2 linked regions of the Cricetulus griseus genome follow. The protein of the gene in region 2 interacts with the protein of the main gene of each other region in a pairwise test. Links are inferred from orthologs where the notes say so. Each region holds a gene or a part of one and is shown on either strand. Other genes may lie near its edges.

Region 1 (4,488 bases), on a different chromosome or scaffold from region 2:
GAGATGGTAAGTTCGCTATGCTTGTGAGGCAATAAGAAAATTACAGCTGAACCCAGCCCTGAATTCACGGCTCCCAATCCCCGACTTCTTGGTTTCAGTTGCTCTCTGTCCTCGCTTGGTACACGACTGTGGCCATGTCACCTTGGTCTCATTGCTGCAGTCCTAAGTAACAGAGACAGGATGCTTGTCTTAAATTAAGGATCTATATACATCAAGATTTCAGCTGGCGACTGAACGAAATTGTTCACTGAGCTCACTTTTTGTTGGGATATTCTGTGTCTGTCTCCTTGACTGCATTAGCGAAGGAACGGCAAGACTCATCTGACATAGACTCAGCCCAGAAACAGAGTGCTAGGCAGGTAAATAATTTTATTATATGATTATATAATAATTACCAAAAGTAACACTTACTCCTTGTTTATGAGACTCCAGCGTTGTCAATAAAGCACGCTTGGCGGAGGGTTACCCGGGGACAGGGAGACTTTTCACCAGCATTTGCTTTGCATAGTTCTGAGTGAGTCTCTTGCACTTCACTGTAGTTTCAGCCAGCGCTCTGCGAGTTTAAACATGAGATTCTATGCAGACTTAACGAGAATTAGGGTAGATTCATAACAGGTTAAAATGGATAACTGATTACACTGAGGCATTAATGGGTGTTAACTAAGCCTATGGTATGTGGCAAAAATCTGACTACACTGTATTTTGCTGAATTCCTGGCACATTCAAACAAGGTTTGACCCACCGACACCGCAAATAGAATGATAGATAGATAGATATAGATGGATGGATGGATAGACAGACACAGATACAGACAGATGTGGTGCAGAAGCCGGGCATGCGCCCTTCACGCGCAGCAACCCGCTGGTGTGAGGCGCACACTGCGGATCCGAAGCCTCGAAGCCTCGGTGTCACCACCACCGGGGCCTCATTACCGAGGGCGGGGATTAGTGTCAGGCCGGGAGCTGTGCCCTGATTGCAGAGGAGGATGGAGGTCGAGCCCCTGCTCGCCCGGTAACACTCTGCAGAGCTCATGCTTCCAACCGCGGGCTCCGCACTGTGTAACACCTGTGACCCGCCCGCCGCACCTCGGAGCGAGCGCAGAACGGCTGCGGATGGGCCCACCCGGCTCCCGTAGCTACGTCCTCGCGAGGCCAGCACGAGGCCGCGGTTAAGTTCCCGCTCCTCACCGTGGCGTCTGCTCCTGGAGCGGAGGGCGAGCTGCGCGGAGCCCGGGCGAGCAAGAGTTTTTCAGTGTGAGCTGCGCCCGCCACGGAGGCCACGGAGGCCGGGGAGGCCACGGAGGCCGGGGAGAACCTTCTAGAGCATGGGGGAGACGAGCCCCACCCCGCCCCGCCCCGCTGGCCCCGCCCCGCTGCTCCCCCGCGGGTGGACGAGCATGGGGCGAGCATGGGTGCTGCGAGCACACCCATCAAGCTGGGCCCCCTCCCGCCTCCCCCCTGTGCTTCCCAGGATCTGGATAAAGATGAGTCTGGAGTCGCTGTTCCAGCAGATCCTCTTCACAGAGCACCAGGCCGAGGAGAGCCGCAGGGCGCTGCGGGGAGGTCAGGGCCACCCGGGGAGGGGAGAGGGAGGAGAGGGAGGGGAGAGGGGAGGGGAGGGAGAGAGAGGGGAGAGGGAGGGAGGGGAGAGGGGGAGGGAGAGGGGAGGGGTAGAGAGAGGGAAGGAGAGAAAGGGAGAGGAGGGAAAGGGGAGGGAGAGGAGGGGAGGTCAGGGCAGCCCGGGGAGGGGAAGAGGGGAGAGGAGGGGGAGGGAAAGGGGAGGGAGGAGAGAGAGAGGGGAGGAGGGAGGGAGGGAGGGAGGGGAGAGGAGGAGGACAGGGAGGGGTGAGAGGGGAGGGAGACAAAGGGGAGGGAAAGGAGGGGAGGTCAGGGCGGGGGGGGGGAGGAGGAAAAGGGAGGGGAGAAGAGGGAGAGGGAAGAGAGAGAAGGGAGAGGAGGGAAAGGGGAGGGGAGAGGAGGGGAGAGGAGCCCGAGACTCGAGACTCAGGTGAGTGCAAGTAAAGGTTTGCCTGTGTCCAGTGAGGTCAGAAATTACCAGATGTCGTGGGAAAATCAAGAAAGCGACTGAGGATCTGAAGGAAGAGAAACTGAAGTTGGAATCCAAGGTAGGGATGCCTAGACCGAGCTAGCTGTTGCGTGGGGAGGGATCTGACTGGCTTTTCGGAAAACTCCACTGTCCGGCTACCAGGAAGCTCCAGGATTATATATTGTGTTGTCCAGAGTTTAAAGTTCTGAAACCAATAATGTCTTCAGATATTAATAGGAAGTGGCCCCAAGGAAGCCAGCCTTAAATAAGGAACCCCATTGTGTGGGGTGGTTAATGTAAAGGAACACAATGTCATGGGAAGAATAATTGTCCAATAAGCACTTAGTGCAGCATATAAATTTTAAATGCTAAATAATTTAAGTGTGCTCTGCGGGTGTAATAACAGATCGTGTGTATCTTCGGTGGGCCTCGGCTTTCTCACTTTCTAGTCATTACCACATTTTTGGACAGGTCTCATCCAAAAGTGTCCTCCTGCTCTCATCTCTCTCTTTTGCACTGGTAAAGTTCTGGGTTTTAATAAATAGAACCAAGGGAGTCTCATAGCTTCAAGAAAGATTTTGAACTGTCGGTAGAATTTTGGAGAAGCAAAGAGATGTCGTAGGAGAAACCGTTTGTAGCCAAGGGAGGGAGCAGATCTGCCCCAGGCACATTGAGACCCCAGCAGAGGACTGGTGTGTACAGTAGGAGGAGAATGTGGCCAAGATGTGACCGGGGAGGGGCAATAAAAGTGCTTTTAGGAGGCCCTTTGCACTCTGATCCCAAAGATGGGAGACAGGTGTGAAGATGCTGAGGCCACATGGGAGGCCTCACTCTGAGCAGGAGCACACAGGGGTCCAAGAACCTGTTTCAACACCTAAGATGAACTAAGCAAGCAGTGTGCATAGGTAGTCTGTTTACATAATTACTCTGTTTTTGTCTATAACATGGTCTGTTTTTTGTATATTAAATATAAACTTATACGTAAATAAATTATAAATTATTACTCTATTTAGCTTACATTTGTGAAGAAGTTTCAGTTTTCCCTGGATCAACACATACTGGTATTTGCAGCCCCTGTTGCTTTGAGAGGATCATACTTAGACCTTTTTCTTATCCACCTTTATTCTCCTTGTGTTGGTTGCTTAGCAAACATTGCATGTGAGTGTGTTCACTACTAAGAGTGTGATCTATAACAAAGAAGGAGCTGTCTTAATTTGACAAGTAAAACTTGTACATGTTTATGGGTTCCATGTGTTTTTATATGCATTTTATAATGCTCAAATCCAGGTTAATGTATCTGTGGCAACAGTTATTCTGACTTTGTGGTGAAAATATTACATATCTTTTAATTTTTTAGTATAGGTTACTTGCGTCAGTCACCCTGCTGTGCAGTAGAATACCAGCATTTATGCCTCCTGACTATGAGTACGCGCCAGCCAGTCTTTCCTTTCCCCCCTTACACGCCAGACGGTCTTTCCTTCCCCCCTTACACACCAGCCAGTCTTTCCTTTCCCCCCCTTCCAACTAAAAGAGACGGGCTGTCTTTGAAAACATAACTTGGGGCTGTTATTCATTCATTGAGCCCCTGCGCTCTTATTTTCCTATAGTAAGAGAGAAAGTAGCCCCTAGTGACAGTGCCGAAAGCTGCCAAGGCTGGGCAAGCTGTGAGCAGTGTCATGATGTAGCTGTCTTCCCTTGAAGAAGAGTTATGATGATTTGAAAGTTGGCAAATGGAAGCCAACAGAAGAAAGGTCCAGAGAGAGAGAGAGAGAGATAGACACAGACGGACAAACAGACAGACAGACAGACAGACAGACAGACACAGACATTGCCACCTCCACACTTGGCAGCTAACAGTGCTCATGTGCCTGGCACTATTCAAAGGTGACATTACTCCTTTAGTTCTAACAGGAACTCTGTGTGGAGGAGCCAGCATTCCCATTTTGCAGGTGAAGAAGTTGAGAGTTTAAATGGCTTGTCCGTGGTATATACTATAAAACCAAATAACTACCATAATAAAAGTAACAATTACGGAGAACATAACTCTATTAAAACAGAATCTCAAGCTCATCTTGAACATTCTTTCATGACATACAGTAATGTGTCTGAAGCTTTGTGTCTGGGGCAGTATTCTTTAAAGGTCACTTAGTAAGCTTTTGTATAAAGTACATTTCTCTGGGATTGGTGACATACTGACCTGACAGCAGGTAGTAAGTGTTTTTTTGTTTTTGGTTTTTGGTTTTTCAAGACAGGGTTTCTCTGTGACTTTGGAGGCTGTCCTGGAACTAGCTCTTGTAGACCAGGCTGGTCTCAACTCACAGAGATCCTCCTGCCTCTGCCTGCTGAGTGCTGGTATTAAAGGTGTGCGCCACCAACTCCCGGCTGTGTTTTATTTTAAATGAAATCTTTTTTTCTTTCTAATGTTTCCTTTGTAAGACAAAT
Region 2 (4,368 bases):
TGCAAACACCATGGAAACAGTATGCAAAATCCTCAAAAAATTAAAGTGAAGGTCAGGGGATGGAGCCCACTGACAGAGGGTTTATTGAGCATGCTTGAGTAGTTCTATCTTTAGCACTACCAATAAATAATAATAATAATAATAATAATAATAATAATGTGATCCTGGTCGGGCATTGGTGGTGCACGTCTTTAATCCCAGCAGAGGCAGGGGGATCTCTGTGAGTTCGAGGCCAGCCTGGTCTCCAGAGCGAGTGCCAGGACAGCCTCGAAAGCTACACAGTGAAACCCTGTCTCGAAAAACCAATAATAATAATAATAATAATAATAATAATAATAATAATAGTGTGATCCACTAATCCTGCTTCTTGGCACACACCCAAAAGAACTGAAAGCAGGAACTCCAAAAGACATCTGTACACGAATGTTCATAGCAGCGCTATTCACAACAGCCAAAAAAAGGAGAGTTCCTGCTTTCATCCCTCCATGAGTACAGAATGAGGTGTGGGTATACGATGGACTGCTATTAGCACTAAAAAGGAAGGTAACCCTATCACAGGCTGTGACATGGATGGGCGCTGATATTATATTAAGTAAAACAAGCCAGTCACAGAAAAAAAGACAGTGAGTACGGGTACACACATAGAAGGTGATGCACATTCTTACAGATAAGGTGCCATGAAGGTTGCCAGGGGTTGGGGGAGGGAGGGCTGTTGTCTAACAGATACAGGCTGTTCAGCTCTTAAGCTCCAAACTTGGGGTGCAAAATCTGAACTCTTCAACAGGCCTGGCAGCCCTAAAGATGAAGATTAATATCTGACAGTGATTAATTAACCTTCTAATGCATAATGCCCCATTAATTTTGGTGTTGGACTTCATTTTCTCCGTGGGCCTAACATAAGCACAGCTCATACACTCTGAGCTGGGCCTAGGGCAACATGAAGAGGAGGGCTAGCCCCGTATCACCTTTCATGATGGCCCCACCCCCACCACGTGCCAGAGGAGGTAGTCTTTGGGCCCTGCCTCTCTTCAACATTGCCCTTCCCTACACTGCAAAGTTGGGACCAAGACAGCCCAGAAGAACAGGCCTGGGCGAACTAGAGACCATCTGTGCCAGACTGCCCCATGGGAGAGGTTTTCTGAGGACCTGCACTCCATGTTCCCAAGATTGGGACTGTCCCAGAGAAAGTGGGGCAGCAGGTCACACAAGGCCCTAGGACATGGGATTCATTACTGCAGTGAGCTGTCCCTGGCCCTGTGTGGCTGTGGTGCTCCTGGTCCCTGGTCGTGACTGGCTGGCCACTCCTACCCTTCCTTACTAGGCAAACTGCCCACACAAGCCTGCCCTGTGGCCAGAAAAATGGGGTAAGTCAGCCTCAGCTCAGAGATGTTCCTCCTGCTCCTCCCCCAAGTGACCCTCCAGGGGAGTGGTGGGGTGGGAAACAGATGGCACCGCTGCCCAGACCATGTGCTATGGCCAGAGATATAAAAATAATCCCTGACTTGGCTCTCAGGCCCAGCCTGGAGGCTTCTAGCTCTCTCTGCCCCACCCAAAAGCCACCAGATGTCCTACTTGAGACAACCAGGCCCAAAGAACACTGCACTCTACACCAAGGCCCACAGGTGCTGGCCGTAGGGGACATTTGAGAAGATTCAGGAACTGGGATTGTGTCTGGATCTTCCTAAGGCTCAGAACCCTACGCTCTTCCAGAAACAGAAGAGTGAAGATCCGCAAGTGATTCACAGAGAAGCCACGGCTGCGGGGCACCGTTTGGGTAGAGAGGAGTGTGGCTTGACTGAGAAGGCAACCAAATCCGACTGCTGGGGGCTGGGGTTGCAGCTGTGCCGTAGAACATTTGCCAGCCCAGCCCTCGGACCCTGAGACCTCTCGGTGTCTGGTCCATCTCCCACACAACCTCACTCCCCCAGCCACCAAAGCACACAGTACACAATGTTGCTGTGACAGGCTGGGCCTAGGCTGTCTCACTTGAGCTTGCCTGTTCCCCCAACTGGAGAACACGATTATCACCCAGACATTAGTGTCTGTCCTGTTGCTGGATGGGTGCAGGTAGGAACGCAGGCAGGCAGGCAGCATTACCGTTAATGAGTTGACGCTGCCAAAGGCTCCCTTTGTTTCAGGCCAGGACAAATAACACTACTATTTCACAACAGAGATGTTCTTCCACATACAATGGGATACCATTCTGGTAAACTTACTAGTCAGTTAATAATACCCTAATGCAGAAGGGAAAGGTGATGCATGCCTGTATCTGAGATTCCAGACGCTGAGGCAGGAGGATCATGAGATTGAGAGCATTTCAGTAACCTTCATACTGACTTCCACAGTGGCTGCGACAAGCTCCGCTTCTACCAACAGTGAAGAGCCGTTCCCATGTCCACACCCTCACCAGCACCTACAGTCCTCTGACTTTTGGATGACAGCCTTTCTGAGTGGGGTGAGACGCACTCTCAAAGCAGTTTTAATTTCTATTTCCCTGGTAGTTACTGACATAAAACATTTTTCTCAGATTTTATGTTATGTCTAGCAGTGTTATGCCTGGATGTATGGTATGTGTATAACATGTGTGTCCGGTCCCTGCAAAGGTCAGAAAAGGATGGTGGAGCCACAGAACCAGAATAACAGGTGGTTGTGAGCTGCCATGTGGGTGTCAGGAACTGAACCCAGACCCTCGGCAAGAGCGGCCAGTGCTCTTAACTGCTGAGCCACCTCTCCAGTCCTTCAATGGGATATGCTGTTTTTTAAACTAGAGTACTGACATTAGGGTTTCACTGTGTAGCCCTGGCTAGCCTAAAACTCTCTATGTAGATCAGGCTGGCCTCAAACGCATAATGATCTTCTTGCCTTGATGCCCAACGGCTGGCTAAATGAAAGGCTTGCGCCTGTGCACTCTGCCGACATACTTTTACACTATGGCTCTGTATATCCCATGAAATATACTTTTAATTACCTGCGTCAAAGCAATGCTGGCAACCCCATGACCATGTGGCTGGTTGGGCACTCTGGCTCACTGCTGCTGCCCCACACGGCAAAAACATACTGTTTATCATTAGCTGGGAAAACAGTAAAATTTCTACTGAATGTGCATCACTTCCACACTGTAATACAGAAAGATCACAAGTTGACCTTCGTACACTGGGAGCTGTCTGTGCAGATAACTCATGGGGATGTCAATATGTCATCTGTAACCAACTCCCACGGTCCCCAATCCAAACAGGACGTGATAGAAATTGAAACTCAAAATGTTTACAAGACATGCCTGGTGTTACACAGAAATGACGAAAGAAGTCGGGCCACTCTGAACACAAGGACAGAAACGGTTCCCTCTCCAGGCACTGACTCTAAGAGCTTTGGAGGTGTAGGTCAAAGGTCCAGTCTCACCAAGACCACCCTCATTGCCTGTGGGCTGTGATATTGGTTGGTGACTAGAACAGCCTCTGCATTGCAGTGACCGACCTGTGACTGAAGCTAGGAGGGAAAAGAAAACCTGAGGTTTCCTTCCGGGAGATCCACCCTAACCTAAGGACATATGAGGTGACACAGTGGCTACAGTCATTCACGGTGGGGACAAGTTGGGAATCCCCTTCAGCACAGGGATTCTCCAGGCTGGCAGAACTCCCAATGTGGTTTGATGACCCAGAAAAGAGATAACAAATCTGAACCCCAGATACTCTGCCCTGATCTAATCCTGCTGTGGCCACAGAGACACTGTTTAGGACAGGCCTGGCCCCACCTAGTACAATGGCTCCTGGCTATGACCTAGCCCTGGCTATTCCTACCAGACTGGGCTGTAGAGAGACTGAGCCCACGCCACAGTCCACACTCACCCACAGGTATGACAAAAACTATAAAGCACAAGGACAAGAAGGCCCTGGAAACATCCAAAGAGCAGGGTAGGGAGGGGCTATGAGCCCGCCCTACTCTGACCTCATCTCCAAAAGGAAAGAAAATTAGGCAACGCATGCTGACTCACACCTGTAATTCCAGCACTCTGGAGGCAGAGGCAGGAAGATCACAAGTTCAAAGCCAGCCTGGGGCTACGTAGTGTGTTCCAGGTCACCCACAGATACAGAGTGAGACCATGTCTCATAAGTAAACAAACAAATAAATAATTGGCTGGGCATTAGTGGCAAATGTCTTTAATCCCAACATTCAGATGACAGATGCAGGTGGATCTCTGTGAGTTCAAGGCCAGCCTGGTCTACAAAGAGAGGTCCAGGAAAGCCAAAGCTACATGCAGAGAAACCCTGTCTTGGAAAAAAAAATAAAAAATTAACCAACATAGTGATGAGTGGTGCAGGTTGGTAACCCCAGCACTGAGGAAGCTGAAGCAGGAGCGCTGCCACAGGT

Evidence for each region.
Region 1: the proteins of Tead4 (region 2) and Ccdc172 interact in binary tests that used the Homo sapiens proteins (3 or more experiments, as listed by UniProt). The two-hybrid records come from large-scale screens. The link is inferred for Cricetulus griseus from reciprocal best matches to the Homo sapiens genes TEAD4 and CCDC172.

Annotation. Positions count from the first base shown.
Region 1 is NC_048596.1:2,889,101-2,893,588, reverse strand, and holds the start of Ccdc172 (coiled-coil domain-containing protein 172), read left to right. Parts: upstream 1-1,483; coding exon 1,484-1,562; intron 1,563-2,039; coding exon 2,040-2,125; intron 2,126-4,488.
Region 2 is NC_048601.1:18,130,427-18,134,794, reverse strand, and holds the start of Tead4 (transcriptional enhancer factor TEF-3), read right to left. Parts: upstream 3,072-4,368; 5' UTR 3,069-3,071; coding exon 2,969-3,068; intron 1-2,968. UniProt on the Homo sapiens protein: Transcription factor which plays a key role in the Hippo signaling pathway, a pathway involved in organ size control and tumor suppression by restricting proliferation and promoting apoptosis.